Sus scrofa: one gene and its partners. The protein of the gene in region 2 purifies or fractionates together with the protein of the main gene of each other region. This does not show direct contact. Links are inferred from orthologs where the notes say so. Each region holds a gene or a part of one and is shown on either strand. Other genes may lie near its edges.

Region 1 (4,086 bases), on a different chromosome or scaffold from region 2:
CCTTGTGTCCTTTCCGCACAAGATGCCACAGAGGTAAGAGCAGATCTCAGGTCATTTGTGAGCTCTGTGTTCTCATCAGCTCATCTGTACTTAGAATCTGCCTAAGCTTGGGAAGGTAAGTAGAAGCTAAAGGGATTAGTAGACCCTCAGATGCAAGTAACCTTCAGGCACCCTAAGTCCAAAGCAGGGCAGTTTGATAAAGCACATCTTTATGGGGTTCCCGAGGACGCGCGTCCTAGAAAAGGTAGAGGAGGTGAAACAGCTCTGCGTTCACGTTCAGCCTGGTAGTTCAAGAAAACTAAGCCAGGGGTATAACAAAAGCAAACCAGCAATCTCGCCCACTCCACCCACCCGCATGTACATACCCAGACACAAAGAGAAGTGGATTGCAGTGCTCCTCCTAGGCTCTCGTTTCCGCAGAGTTCTTACATAAAGAGCAATGAGAAAGAGCATCCTGAAGCCTTGGGGAGGAATATAAAGGGGTTAAGCAGCACCCCTCTGCCGGCAACTTTCAAGCCCCTGGCCAGGAGTGCAGTTCTCCTCACAAGCTGTACGTGTTACTTGCTTGCTTATTTTTTAAAATTCAGCAGGTTAAGAGTTAAGATCAACACCTCAGAGAGGAAAAAAAAAAAAAAGAGAACTTGGTTCAGCTCCACCCTCTCCAAAGCAAATACCAACAACTCTGAGCCAAATCCACTCAGCATACACAAGAGTCCGTGGACATTCCAAAAAGCAGGTGAAAAGAAGCTGAGTATCTTCAGGTCTCTCACCGCTCAGCCCCCTGCACTCAGCACAATTCTCAAATTTGTGAAACAAGGTAAGGGGTAGATAAAACAAAAGCGCATATGACATTCTATTAAGAACTTGAAAAACATCTACACGTCACGGCGGTCACTATAAATCAGCAAGAATAGCTGGAATCGGGTGAGGAAGGTCACACTGTACCCATGGAAACAAAAGCAAAACAAAATGATACAGAAAGAGAAGGAATATGGGCTCTGAACCTAAGGCTTAGAAGGAAAGCTCCCTAACTAACTAAAGGGTCATTCTTGCCCTAAAGAAACCAAGGGGAATGTTGTTTTGGTCACCGTGGGGGAAAGGCTGTCCCTACTATTAAACCTGCATGTCTAGGGAGGGATCGGGGAGGATAAGGGGAGGGCATTTGCCAGATAAAAACAGGCAGTGACTGACAGCCTACAGGCCCTGGAAAGGACAGTCCAGAAGCACCTGTCTTGCTAGAAATAGGTAGGAAGAGATGAGTCACTATTTTAATTGTTTAATACTCCCCACATCTCAACCCTCTAGGTCCCAAAACAATATTTTCTTCCTGTTTCCATCACTTTGTATCAGTTTTTTTCCCCAAAACTTGTGGAGTTGGGTCAGAATGCTAAGGCGCGGGGGGGGGGGGGGGGGAATAGGAGAAAAGAGGAAAAAGTGAGAAACCACTGGGTTAGCAGAGCTACTGGGGTGGGGGCGTAATTACTGGAGAGAGCGGACTACCTAACTCCAGTTTCAACTAGCAAATGGTTATGAAGATCCCAAACTTCCCCCTCTCATGGACAGCGCCCCATAACTTTCAAAGCTTCTACAGCAAAAAGCCAACAAAACCTCCCTGGAGAGACGAGGGAAAAAGAAGCTTCAGGGTGTGCAAAGCTAATGAAACATGGCAGTGTTACCTGAATATCAACACTCTTTCAGACTGGAAGTAAGTGGCACCTAAGGAAAACTACACTCTTCTACGAGTAGGAAAAGGGACGTGAAGGGGCCTTGGGGCACAGGAGGTGGCGGAAGAGCCCAGGCGGGTTATCAGGGGTAACGCAGACTCGGCAATTCAATTAGATCCTCACAAGCTTCTCGGCCTTTTAAGTCTGACTTCCTCCCCTTGGGGGAGATGTGTCACCATCCCAAGTCAAGAAGGGCTTATTCAGAAGTTCTAACCCCCTGAAAAGTGGTCAGCAAGAGGGCAAAGGGACAGATTCTCAGGGCAGGGCGATACGGGAAGCCAACGAAGGTTATGCCCAGTGACCAGAGGAACTGGGCAGGTACCCACTCCTGCGAGCACAAGGCCGGACGTCCAGGGAGGAGGGAAGGGAGGGCCCAAGTCAGGTAACATTCCAGAGAGGAAGGATTATCAGGTGACACTGGGCTAAGGGCCCAGAGAGGGGACTGGGCGGGAGGAAAGTTAGCAGGTGAAAGAGATCAATCTTGGGGAAGGAAGTGACCTTTGGAGACGCAAATAAAGAGAATACCAAAAGGGAGGGGGGGAGGGTAATAAGAGAAAATGGACCCAGACAAGCACAGCGCATCGAGGTAGAGAAGGCGTGTTCGGGTAACAAGAGGAAGAAGAAAGGAAGTGGGCTCCGAGGGGAGAGATGGGGCCGAGGGCGGCCGGGGCCGTGGGGGCGGAGGGCAGAGCGTGCGGGCTTGGCGGGGGGTCGGGGGTGAAGGGAGCCCCGAGGTGGCCGGGACAGCAGCCGAGGGGGGGACTCCGGGGCTCCCCGACGTCCCGGCGCGGTAGGAGGTCGGGCTGCGGAGCCCAGGACCCAGCAAAACCAGGAAGGGAGACGCGGGGGCGGCTCCCTAGGGACCGGCGTGCGCCCCTGGGGCCGGCAGCGAGGGTCTCCGGGCTCCGGAGGGCGGTTACGGGGCCAGGCTGAGGGAACCAGGTGGGAGGGACACTCACAAATTTCTTGGATTTGCCGCCGTCGCCGCCTGCCGAAGGCAGCTCGTCCGGGCTGCGGCCCTTCTTCTTGTCCCGGGTCCCGCGGCCGGGCCCCAGACCCCCACCGGGCGGCTCCATGTCCAGGTTCGCGCTGGCTCCTGACCCCGCGCCTACGCCGCTCCCGCCCCGCAGCTCCAAGCCCGCCGCCGCCGCCGCCGCCGCCGCCCCGCAGCTCCTCAGCCCGCCGCCGCGCCCCGCCTCATTAGCATGCCGGGCTGCGCGCGCCTCATGAATATACAACGGCGACGCCTCGCTCCCGCCCGCCTGCCCCACTTCCGCCCGGACCCGCAGCCCCTACCAACGGAGGAAGTGGGGGGGGAGGCCGCGGAAGCGCACTACCTGCCCGGCGGGCCTAACCATTCGGACCCACGTGGGGGGGTGGTGAGGAGGCGGTGTCGCTCTCCGGTCGGCGCCCCCTGGCGGTTGGAGAGGCGCAGGCCTCCCTGCTCCCACACACAGTGCCCACGTGGCTGTAAAGCCTGGACCCTCTCACACCCCAGACCAAAATGTGATTCTCTGAACCAAAAATCGCAAAAGAGAGACTGTTATCTCGGCAGAAAATGTATTGCCAGGCTTTCTAAGATAATCCAGTTTTAACCTGTGCAATAGCCATGGAGCACGTGAAAAAAAGCCACAGCCACCATCTACTGAAAGCTATGTCCAGGGCCAGTGCTAGACTGAACTCAGCTAGCTCTGGAGGTAGATCACCTAGTTCTAAATCTCAGGCCTGCTACTTTCTGTGTGTCTAATCTGGAGACACTGGTTATTGCCTCGTGTGCCTGAGCCTTAACAATAGCCAGCCATTTACCACGTACTTGTGCCAGGCCAGACGCTATGCAAAAACGCTGCCCTTATTTTCTTGCTGAATCCTCACTATGCCACGTGATAGATTCCACTAGGCATACCATTGTAAAGGTAGGAAATTTGGACGCTCACAGTTTAAGTGACTTGCCCTAGGACACATAATTAAGTGATTAAAAAAAAAATTAAAACCAGTTTAGTTTGACTGCCAATCTATGTCCAGCCAGGATTCCCTACGGACATAAACCAAACCTGAGGAAAAAGAACAGGTGTTCCCCAAGCTTGTTCTTTGCCCTACTAGCTTCGTTCCTCCCTCATTAATTTCATCTATTGTCCCAGCTACATCTGTCCCCTAAGTGAAAAGCAGGTGGCACCCAGTGGGCCCTCAAAGTCTGGACTGACTTATCTTGCCCACAATTGGCGAGATTTCAACTGTATGTTCCAGGAGGGCAGAGTCAGTGACTCACTCGCTAGGAAGCCCCCGGTGCTCAGTCTAGGGTCTGGCGTGTTACAGGGACGCTGTCAAGCTGGCTGGCTCCTAAATCTGACCTTCATCTCTCCTT
Region 2 (3,500 bases):
GAGTCAAAATAATGGTAGGCACTTGAACAGTAGTGGCAAATAATGACAAAAAGAAGGGAGGAGATGGTAAATATTATGAAACAGATTTGAAAAATGCATAAAGTGCTCAACTAAAAAAATAATCCCAAAAGACCAAGGTTCCCGAATGAAAAAGTGACCAGAGAAAATATAGATAATAAGCCACATTTAAACACACATACACCAAAAAAGAAAAAACCTGGAATTTTAAAAAATGCAAAATTTTAAAATACTACCATTTTTAATGCACTGATTCAAAAACATCAAAACTTGTTTTACTATTCAATGACAGCAAAGAAGTAGTGAGGTAAGCGCTTTCACACACTTCTCAGACACTCCTAGAAAATACTTTGTTTTATTTAGTTAATAAAATAAAGAAAATACTTTATTTTATTACTTTTTTTTCCCCCAACTGCTATGGAAAACAGTATGGCAGTTCCTAAACAAACAAACAAACAAATAAAAAATAGAACCATCATATGATCCAGCAATCTCGCTTCTGGGTATATATCTAAAAGAATTCAAAGTAGGGTCTCAAAACATTCCCATTGCCATGTATACAATGGGAAATTAGCCAGCCTTAAAAAGGCAGGAAATCTGTCACAGGTTATAACATGGATGGACCTTGAGAGGATATCACGCTAAAAGTGAAGGAACCACAGAAAGAAAAGTGACCTTACACAGTGTGTGGGTCCACCTCTATGGGGCACCTAGAGGAGTGAAATTCATAGAAACAGAGAAGAGAATGTTGGTTGCCCAGGGCTGGGGCTTTAAACTATGTCTGAAGGGCACAGTTTCAGTTTTGTTAGATGGAAAAGTTCTGGAGCTCTTTTGTACAACCATAAGAATATATTTAACACTGTTGAACTGTACACTGTAAAAAATAGTTAAGATGGTAAATTTTATGTTTTGTGTTTTTGTACAACAAACATTTTTTTAATATTCTGACTAGAAATTACATTTTTAAGCATCCACCATAAAAAAACAAAGGTTTACAGATAAAGGTGTTATCACATGTGTGATAACACATGTGTGATAATGTAAAAAGTAAAACCAAGAGTTCCCGTCGTGGCGCAGTGGTTAACGAATCCGACTAGGAACCATGAGGTTGCGGGTTCGGTCCTTGCCCTTGCTCAGTGGGTTAACGATCCGGCGTTGCCGTGAGCTGTGGTGTAGGTTGCAGACACGGCTCGGATCCCGCGTTGCTGTGGCTCTGGCGTAGGCCAGTGGCTACAGCTCCGATTCAACCCCTAGCCTGGGAACCTCCATATGCCGCGGGAGCGGCCCAAGAAATAGCAACAACAACAACAACAACAACAAAAGACAAAAAGACAAAAAAAGACAAAAAAAAAAAAAAAAAAAAGTAAAACCAAGAAGATGAGCTAAGTCCCAGGTTCCTAGCCTCAGGTGAAATGCAGGGCACTGCTCTTCTCATCCGTCTTATTTATTCTTAGTTTGGACACAGAAATAAATGGAAGGAATGGCTTCCTGCTTTAAAAAGGAAAAGTAAAATGTCCCAAGACAAATGTTCCACAAACAAGGAAAAGAAATACCTTCTTTTCCATGAGAGACAAATTAACTGCATATTAGGCCAAATTCTGCACATAATTAATTATACACATAAAATATAAAAATGATTATCCAGAGAAACAAAGTCAATAAGATAAAGATATGACAAATGCATAAATTTAAAAATCAATATATAAAACAATAAAAACATAAATACTCACTGATTCACTTGGAGATCCTCAATTTCCAAAAGAACTCCTTTTTCATGTAGTCTTGCTGCTGTATATTTTAGAGAAATCTTTTTGCTTTTCTTTCCTTTCATTTCCCTAGGCTTTTTGGAGACCCTGTAAAAAATCACATCATGTCACTTTCCATAAATAACTATCAATTATGAATCTTTGTTGATAATTCAAGGATATGAGATCAGCAAACAAACTTCCCATACACAAGCCTAAGAAACAAGCCAGTTCTAGAATGGCAAATAAATGCTAGGATTTGACAAAGCAACATCTCTGCAAAACAGAGAAACATTACTCCGTTGCTTTTACTTTGATTTAAATTATATTTGAGGACACACCATGAATGCAACAATATCTTAATCCTTCTATGTCCCCCCTAGAACCTAAGCATCTAAAGTAAGTGAAAGTAAGTGTGAGGGCTTTTAATGCCAGCCTGAGGGAATTGTACTGAACCCCAGGGGAATGACTCTAAGCCTCTTGGCTGTGCAGAAAAAAAATAAAAATGTCTTAGAATACATCATTTTTTTTAACTTTTTTTTTTTTGGTCATGCCTGCAGCATGTGGCAGTTCCTGGGCCAGGGATCGAACCTGGGCCACAGCAGTGACAACACTAGATCCTAACGTGCTAAGCCACTAGGGCATTCCTAGAATATGTAATTTTTAAAAGAGTTTGAGCCAGCATAGCAATTATAGAGGAATGTGAGCAAGGAAAAAGAAATAGATGTTGGAAGGCTATTGGGATACCCAAAGCAAGAAGTGGTAAGAAAAATAAGCAAAGAAAAGAAACGAGTGAGAAGAGACCTGGTACTCTCAAGGGGAGGGTCTCAAAGAAGTGGGACAGAAAAGCTGGTAGTTGTGTATAAGAGAATAATCCCTAAGGCTGGCAACTGAAATATCTATCAAAATCACAACTGTACAAAATTTTGACCCAGCAATTACATTTATAGAAATTTATCTTCCAAAACATGCCTATATTTGCAAAATATGTACAAGAAGTTATTTGTTACAGAATTTTTTATGATAATTGGAAATAATGTAAATACTCAACAATGGAGAATTAAGCACTTATAGTTACCTATACAATGGAATACCACCAAGCCATCAAAAAAGAAAGAACATAGCTCTGTCCGCTTAGAAGGCCTGAAACAATGATGTCTGTGTGGCAATGAGCACATCTAGTGCCTAGATCTTGGTTTCTAAATACCGTTTTTCATTAAAAGGAACCAGGGATGCTTGGAAAAATAGCTAAATCCAAATTTAGGGAGGGAAAGTACAAATTGAACCAGAAACATATTATGCCACAAAGTCAAGAGGTGCTAAAAGAACGATGGAGACATTTTAAAAGGACACAGGAGCCAACTCTGCAAGTTGGGTTTTCACATCAGCTCTCCCTTACTCGAGGAAGTTTTCAGGGAGGGAGAGAAAAAGCACAGATGGAAGAGCAAGCAAGCTAGAGAGAGAGGAAGCTGATGTGGCAAAGTGTTAAATACAGGTGAATCTAGGCGACAGGTATATGGATGTTCAGCGTTCTATTCATTCAGCCCTTCTGGGGTTTGAAAATATTTAAGATGAAAAGTTTACTATCACTTTTAATAAGTAGGACCTGTGCTTAACCACTTCGCCTCTCTGGATTTTCAGTTTCTCTCCTTGTAAACCAGGCAGGCTGATGGTTTGTGGCCAGCACCAAAAAGGCTGCATTTTAGACTTTTCTTGGCAGCTGAGAACAAATCATGG
Region 3 (3,592 bases), about 15 Mb from region 2:
GGCATCTGAGTTTTCACTTATCACTGGAATTCAAAATTGTAAATATAAATATAAAATAAACAGCAAAAACCAGTGTGTTTGGCATTCAAAACAGTTAATCTAATTAGGCAAGCATATAAGTGGAAACATATGGCATTAATGACCAATCTAGTTCCTTTACATTTTTGCAAATTCTACATAACCTCTGAATGAAACTGTTTAAACTCTACAAACCTCAAAGTTTGCTTCTACTATTCCAAAAAGTATGTTATATGGGTAAGGTCTAATTTATACCTGCTCCAAACTGAAATTTACAAACCAATCATTTGCTTTAACAAAGGCAGTGTCATGAATTAATACCAAGGGCAACTGGAAACATATATTCATTATAGTTTGTATTCTTTTGTTAATTTCAGGCCAATTTTTTTCATACAGAAATAACCAACCTTAAAGAAGTATTTGTATTTCCCAGTTCATAAAATATTCTGAAAATGGATCAATCACACACAAGGTTAAAATTAGTATTCCCTACTAATTCCTATTCATTCAACAAACATGTATTTGTGTCGTAACTATCATTACTGGAGTTAGTTCACCTACCAATTTTTATTTCTCAGAAAAATACAAATGCAAAACTGCAGAAACTTTTTAAAAGTTTTAAAACTCACTGAAGAAAATTCTACAGAAGCTAAAATCAGGAAATGGCTGAAAACATGTCATGTAGATGTCACTACAGCAACTCCAAAGGAAGATGATGAAGGGATGTACTTACGTTTCAAAACAACGATCCACGTTGTCAGACATCAAAAGCAGCATGCATAGCTGTTCAAGGGCTATTAGTTGCATGTCCCTTTCATCTCCCTGTCCCATCTGCAGCCATTCCAGCAATGTATCTGGATCCACATCTGCCATGGTTTTTTTTTTTTTAAAGGCTCTTTGCTTAAATTAAAAAAGTAAAAGCAAAAATTCCTCTAAATGTCCAGAAATGATCAGGGTGGGTTTAAATTTTTTTTTTCTTTTACACGGGCCAGAGCCAAATTTTCGTGGTGTCCTCCTGGAATTAGAAAAGACTCATAAGTGTGTGTGGATAGAGAGCTTAATGCAGTTTTTCAACTTTCCTTATTCCTCGGTTTAACTTCATATATCACACTAAATAAAAACCAGTTTTGAACAAGAATATAAGCTGATTAGGTTGCTGCTTAACTGGAAACCTGAGCCGTCTTTGTCAAAGACAGTTAAACAAGCTTCCTATCCCAGTACTGCTATCACTAATGTCTGTGCCAAAAGGCAAACAACACCTTACTATGAGTTCTTTTTTTTCAGCAAACGTCTTTCCCCTCCTCGACCCAAAACTGATCTTCGGATAAGGATGAGAATCAGTATTTTAAGGAGACTAAGAATTTTGATCTAATCCCTCTCCAAATTAAGTTTCTATTTTAAAATTACCTCCAATTTCATAAATTCTGCCGACTTCTCGATTTACTTACTGCTATTCTTACCATATCTAAATACAAATGATAGACACAAGATCTATCTAGGAATAAAAACTTGATTAGGAATTTTGGCTGTTTTGGCAACTGTTTTTAAAAGTTTTAAAAGAAATGCTAAAAGTAAGTACAATGGACTAACACATTACGGATCAGAATATAGGCTAATCTATGGTCCTCTTTCCCTGTCCCCATAGAGTGGGCAGTTGGTTAAAAACAACAACAGCGAAGGAAAAGCAACCACAACAGGCAAGTCATTACAAAAGCTCGTAAGTGCCGTGAAGGAGAGACGGCTTTGGGTCCCCTGCAACCCAGGTGCAGGTGTATAAACCCAGCGGCAGGTTCCAGTGGGCACCCAACGGCGGCCGTCAGCAGGGGTGACCCAACACCCTAGGCCCACTCGACCCCGCGCCGAGAGGCGCAGGCACCGCGCTCCGGTTTCCTGGCACCAAACCCGGCTAAGTTAGCTACCTGTGTCGAAAAGGAGGGGGAAGTTTTGGAGGAGGAGCAGCAAGCCTCTCTACCCTAGAGGAGGCCACCGAGGCGGGCTCGGAGATGGGTCTCCCGGGAGCGGCGCCCGGAACTCCGAGGCCCGGGGAGATGTCCCTGGCCCCGCCGGGCGGCGAAACCTTCTCAAGGACAAGGGGAGGGGGGGGGCTGCCGTAGGTTCCGGCTTGGACAAGCCGGGTCCCGCCCCGGGCAGAGCCAAGGCTGGGAAACAAAGGGGCTAAGAGGGTAAGTCAACAGCAGTGCCGCCGACCTTACCAGGGGCCGGGGTCTCGCTCCCAGCCCGCCGCCGGGCATCCCTCATCCCGGCACCAGGGCCGTTCCGACCGCCCAGGGAGTCCCCGCCTCCCCTTCCCTCAAGCTCTTACCCGGGCCTGTCCTCCCAAACCACTCCGGTCCAGCTCCAAGCAGGCCGCGGGCAGAGCCAGGCCCGGCCGCGGCCCTAGAGTTCCCAGGAAGCCGCAGGCCGCGCAGGTCGAGCCGGGCAAGCGGCACAGGAAAAGCCGCTCCTCGTCCCTCCCCTTCCTCCGCGGGGACCTGGTGACGGGGAAGCGAGAGGTTCCCCAGACCAGCGGCAGCCAGCGCACGTCCCGTCCCCGGCACGCGGCTCCTCCGGCCTTACAGCTCAGAGGCCCGCGCGGTGCTGCCGGCGGCGGCGGCGGGGGAGGCCGCGTCCATCGCGATCCGGGAGGGGGAAGGGAGGAGGGTCGGGGGAGAGCCGGGCGGGGAAGCTGCGGAGGGCAGCCGTGCGGCGCGGAGGCGGAGCAAATGGGCTCTACTGACTGCGACCTCGCCGGCCGCCACGTGGGGCGCTGCAGGTGCCGGTCGGCCAGTGGCGCAAGGGGCGCCAGCCCTGGGTGCCAGGCGGCGGGACGCGTCGCCGCCTCTCTCTGGTCTCTCTCGCACTCCGGGCCTCGGTCTCCCTCGGCCTTGTCAGCTGTCGCTTTACTATCGTACGCCCTGCACCTTCACTATGCTATCAATCGGAGCGCGCTCCCACCACCCCGCACGCGCGGCTGCACGTACGCTCAGCGTGTTTTGCACGGTGTGTACACACTTGGCGCGCTCCTGCTGACGGCACTCAGGCTGCACGTCAAACCTGCGGCCCAGGCTGTCTTTGCCTGGCGTCCTACCAGGGCGACCGTACCCGGCCAAGAACTGGTCACCCCTCCTCGAGCACCGAAAAGTGTCGCGGGAGGAGAAGCGCCTCCCTTCGGTCCTAGGAGGCAAACCGCCCGCAGTTCGTTGGAAAGAAAATCTTTCACAACTCCGGGGAAGTAAATATTGTCGAGTGTTCTCTCCATTGTACGGATGAGAGAACTGAGGCTCCCAAAAGCGTGAATTCAGGCCCAATGGCGTCCCCAGTAAGCAGCAGCACTGCGAGTGTGCTTTTGATTTTTTCCTGTGGGTTTTGGTCGCAAGAATGTCTGTAATTATTCCCTTCGGACGTTCTGTTTCACAGGCGTTGAAAACAAAATATATTTGCTTATGGTACGTACATGGAGATATTTAGGATATAATTAATTGGAAATGTGACTATAGCTTCCTTTTTTTAAAATCAAGAAATTAATGCCTTGGTTTGTGAGATAGGTAAACCCATGCCCAGACACCCACTGTAC
Region 4 (4,117 bases), on a different chromosome or scaffold from region 2:
AATAGAAAGAGGATCTGACCAGGGGCTTGGGATGGACAGTGGGCTCAGGGGACCAGCTTCTCCTCACCCTCCAGCTGGTCCTTGTTAAACTCGATCTGTGGAAGAAAAGAGCAGGTGAGGAGGGATGACAGGGCTTATTCAATCTCTCTCCAGCACTCCTCCCGACCAACTGGCAACCACTTCTGGGGAGGGGCCCAAAGGGACCAGGCTGGGAGCCCAGCCACCTCAGTCCCATTCCCAGCTCCAGACCTTGGGAGAATCCCAAGAGGAGGAATTATTGGGGGGAGGGTTTCCTGGGAACAGGGTTAATCCCATGCCACCTGTTCCCCTCCCTCTACTGCCCTGAGCCCTGCATCCCTCACATAACTGGGGGCTGAACAAAGGCTAAATTTACCCCTGGCCCCCAGCTGTGATTGTCTAACAAGTCTGTCCTCTTCAGCCTTCCTTCCTGGGGTTCAGAGCTGTGGCCTTTCGTGTTGAACAGTCAGCCAGGGGCCGGCAGCAGCTCCCTCCCTTCACCTTGAAACTGTCCTCAGAACCCAGATGTTCCCCATCTCACAGTCCCTGCCTCCAGCAGGAGGGTCAGTGAGAATGTGTGTGTATATACGTACACAGAACGTGTTATAGATTAGAGGAAGAGCTCAACAAAGACAATAGCAGAGTCATGACCCTGAATCCTTCCAAATAGGGGACGAAGGGAAACCCCCGCTATCATCCAGTGCTTACTGATTCCCTACCTTCTAGATACCCCCTAGTCCTCTAGGCTGAATCCCACCCTTTACCACTCCCTCCAAATTCTTTTCTCACTTTCCAGGGACTCACCACCACTTTGGAGAGATCGACGGGGGGCTCCTGGATCTTCGCAGAGGCTGAAGGGACAGCTGGTGCTGGTGCTGGTGCTGGTGCTGGCGCTGACGCTGACGCTGGTGGTGGCTTGGCTGGAGGGGCCCCTGCTGCTGGCTTGGCAGCAGGCGCAGCAGGCTTGGGGTTAGGGGGCCCCACTGGTTTCTTCACGGGAACGGGAACATCCTTCTTGGGAGGCATGATGTCCGGTGGCCAAAGGACAGTGTGCCGATGGGGGCACCCATCTCTGTTTAAATAGCCAGGGAGTCTGGGATGTCAAGGGGCGGGGGCAGGGGCAGGGAGCCAGTTGGCGATGGGGAGGGTGAGATAGAGGAGAGATATGCTGGCCTGCCCTCACTCCCCTGGCCTCCTATGGTTCAGGACTCCTGCCCCAAGGTCTTCTCCCTTCTGTCCACCTGGCCCCAAATGCTGACCAGAACAATGGCCCCTTTGGGGGCAGGGGGAGGAAGCCAGAGACTGCCCAGAATGGGGGAGTTAACCTCCGGGGTGAGGATAGGATGCTTGCCAGTGACAAACAGTAAAATAGGGGTGAGGCAAAGAAGGAGATCCAGGCATTCAATGCCCTCAACCCTCTGACTCAGAAGAGCCCTTTTTCCTAGCAGCTTTAGACTCTTGAAGGCTGAAGCAGGGATGGGGGCCTTGTGAACTGTGATTGTTAAAGTGGGGTCTGGGAGTAGTGAAAGGTGAAAAAAACAAGCAGACTCTCTGCTCCTCTCTGACCATGGATGAGAAGCAGGGATAGTGGATCCCACAGCTTCATAATCCTGAATACTGTAATTCTCTAACCCTCTTCCTGCCAGCCCAGAACTGGAACTGTGTACAAAATAGAGACAGAATAGTAAGAGAAGAGTGTGACCTCCCCCTCCGATTGTTCCTGTACCCAGTGTTAAACGTTTAAGGAGCGGGGATGCGGGCAAGGACAGTTTAACACCCACCATCCATACTCCCAAGGAAGGAACACTTGTCCACAAACCTATGGTCATTCAGGTCAGACACAAGTAGGGTGTCTGAACCTGCAGGGGCTCCTTGCACCTGGGGGGAAGGGCAGGCTCTGAGAGGCAAAGGGCTTAATTTCTAAAATCTCTAATCCAAAAGGACGTGGGAGGCCCTTTGGCCTCCATGAGTACTCATTCCCAACCAGAGGGATAATAAAACCTCCAGACTAGGTTGCCAGATTACAAACCTTGCTGGGAGCGCTGGGGTAGAGTCGAAGTCCGGGCATATGGGGTGGGGGGGGGGGCGTCACTGGCTAGTTTTGTTCTGGGGTTAAAGAAAGAGACGATTTAAACAGCATTCCGAGGAAGATAAGAGTGATCCCACTTAGGTCCTGGGGTTCAGAGAGTTGATGCTGGGTCTCCCACTCCAAAAAAGTCTCTGAATCTCATTACTGCCAATTGCCTCATTTTAGGAAAATAAGCACATCACTCTCTCTCTCTCTCTCTCTCTCTCTCACACACACACACCACACACACACACACTCACATACACACACCCTAAATATTAAATAAAGGAAAGAGTCCCTCCCCAAAGCCCCAAAAACTCACCCTGAGGGGTCCAGGTAAGAGGAGGAGGCGGGGCGAAGGGCAGCCGCAGTCCCTGAAGGGTTAATTTCGCCAGCCACCGAGCATGCCGGGAATCGTAGTCCTCGCGCGCGCCCGGAGGCTCACGGGAAACTCCGCTTAACTACGTAAGGGGGGCGGTGTTAGTGCGGTGGCTTCCGGCCCGAAGCGGCGGTTGGTGACTCAGTATGTTTGGGGCGCGTTTCTTATCCCGGAAAAAGTACTTTTCACTGACTCTCAAAACGTGCGCGGCCCTTCAGAATATCTCCCTTGTTTGGCCCTGAGTTCACTGTTTAGTGTGGGCGGAGCTGTTTTCCTGAGTTCGCTGTGAGAACGCGGAAGCAGCGGAAGGGTTGTAGCTGCCCCAGGCTCAGATAGAAGGTCAGGTAGCTCAGGAAGCACTTAACGGCCCCGGGCCGAGTGGTTAGGTCAGTTTAGCTTCCTGTTGCAGTTCGGTAGAAAATAGAGGCCATTGAGTGGCTGTATGACTTGGAACAGTAAAGTTGTTTGTTTGAAGTGAACTGGTAGTTGAAGTAAACGTTAAAATTTGGAATTAAGCCGGCTAACCTGCCGCAGTCCGAGTTGAAGTTTCTCCATTCTGCGGCCGCGTATGCATCAGGCACCCTTTCTGTTCTTCACAGGTCTCTTTGGAGTGGAGGCCTGCGTTCTCCAGCTCTTGACTCTGAGACATCTCTGCCCAGCATTGGACATCTCTTTCCCGTGGATGGCTGGTTGTTTTTTAGATTTTTTTTTTTTTTAATGGTCGCACCTGTGGCACATTGAAGTTCCCAGGCGAGGGGGGGGGGTCCAATTGGACCTACAGCTGAGGCCTGTTCCACAGCCAGGGCAACAGGGATCCGAGCTGCATCTGCTACCTACATCACCTGTGGCAAAACTGGATCCTTAACTCACTGAGTGAGCCCAGAGATTGAACCTGCCTCCTCACAGAGGTAGCGTCGTGTCCTTAACCTGCTGAGCCACAGAGGGAACTCCTTGTTTGTGTTTAATTGAGGTATGGTTGGTACAGAATATTCTGTTTCAGGTAGGTTGTATGTACTCCATTAATAGTTATAAATATTGGTTATATTCTCTGTGTTGTACATCCCCCAAGATGCTTTTGAAAGGTCTCCTTTGGGCTGGTAAGGAACCAGCCCAGCCCCACTGATCTACTACTAGATGGAAGAGTAAATGCCCTGAAGGTGCATACCATGCTGGAGATTGGGGCTTGCACGGGCTTGCTTGCAGGCAGTGGGTGGGAGTAGAAAGCCCACAAGAGGTCAGAAGAGTGAGGCATAAATGAACTTAATGGGCAGTGCAGAATTGATGTTGGCTGGTTGGGGAAGGCTTTTTGGAAGAGTAGAAATGGATTGTATAATAAAAACAATAACCGATGAGGAGGTGGAGGGTGTTAGCAACCATTTCTGAAGGTCTCCACAGAGCAGGTACTGCATGAACCATAGAGGGTGCTAAAGAGTGTGGATTCAGACTAGCCTGCTTAAATGTGATGTTTTATTTGCTATTGTTTTGAGTTCTTTTTCAGGCTACTTAATTTTTGTTTGTTTGTTTGTTTTGTTTTTTTTCTAGGCCACATCTGCATCATATGGAGGTTCCCAGGCTAGGGGTGGAATCGGAGCTCCAGCTGCCGGCCTACACCGCAGCTACAGCAGCTCGGGGTCTGAGCTTTGTCTGTGACC

The links. Proteins that work in one complex are often made in the same cells at the same time.
Region 1: the proteins of IQGAP1 (region 2) and DIAPH1 purify together in Homo sapiens (affinity purification with western blotting; 3 studies listed by BioGRID and IntAct, with this or other methods). This does not show direct contact. The link is inferred for Sus scrofa from reciprocal best matches to the Homo sapiens genes IQGAP1 and DIAPH1.
Region 3: the proteins of IQGAP1 (region 2) and HECTD1 purify together in Homo sapiens (affinity purification with mass spectrometry; 3 studies listed by BioGRID, with this or other methods). This does not show direct contact. The link is inferred for Sus scrofa from reciprocal best matches to the Homo sapiens genes IQGAP1 and HECTD1.
Region 4: the proteins of IQGAP1 (region 2) and MYL6B purify together in Homo sapiens (affinity purification with mass spectrometry; 3 studies listed by BioGRID and IntAct, with this or other methods). This does not show direct contact. The link is inferred for Sus scrofa from reciprocal best matches to the Homo sapiens genes IQGAP1 and MYL6B.

Annotation. Positions count from the first base shown.
Region 1 is NC_010444.4:143,268,195-143,272,280, forward strand, and holds the start of DIAPH1 (protein diaphanous homolog 1), read right to left. Parts: upstream 2,801-4,086; coding exon 2,684-2,800; intron 1-2,683. UniProt on the Homo sapiens protein: Actin nucleation and elongation factor required for the assembly of F-actin structures, such as actin cables and stress fibers. Binds to the barbed end of the actin filament and slows down actin polymerization and depolymerization.
Region 2 is NC_010449.5:53,121,479-53,124,978, reverse strand, and holds part of IQGAP1 (ras GTPase-activating-like protein IQGAP1), read right to left. Parts: intron 1,872-3,500; coding exon 1,749-1,871; intron 1-1,748. UniProt on the Homo sapiens protein: Plays a crucial role in regulating the dynamics and assembly of the actin cytoskeleton.
Region 3 is NC_010449.5:68,317,575-68,321,166, reverse strand, and holds the start of HECTD1 (E3 ubiquitin-protein ligase HECTD1), read right to left. Parts: upstream 2,133-3,592; intron 2,076-2,132; coding exon of another isoform or gene 2,022-2,075; intron 1,034-2,021; 5' UTR 892-1,033; coding exon 752-891; intron 1-751. Other genes in the region: uncharacterized protein LOC110261745, read left to right, coding at 2,022-2,075, 2,133-3,254. UniProt on the Homo sapiens protein: E3 ubiquitin-protein ligase which accepts ubiquitin from an E2 ubiquitin-conjugating enzyme in the form of a thioester and then directly transfers the ubiquitin to targeted substrates.
Region 4 is NC_010447.5:21,553,034-21,557,150, reverse strand, and holds the start of MYL6B (myosin light chain 6B), read right to left. Parts: upstream 2,801-4,117; 5' UTR 2,409-2,800; intron 2,075-2,408; exon of another isoform or gene 2,048-2,074; intron 1,091-2,047; 5' UTR 1,045-1,090; coding exon 823-1,044; intron 96-822; coding exon 68-95; intron 1-67. UniProt on the Homo sapiens protein: Regulatory light chain of myosin. Does not bind calcium.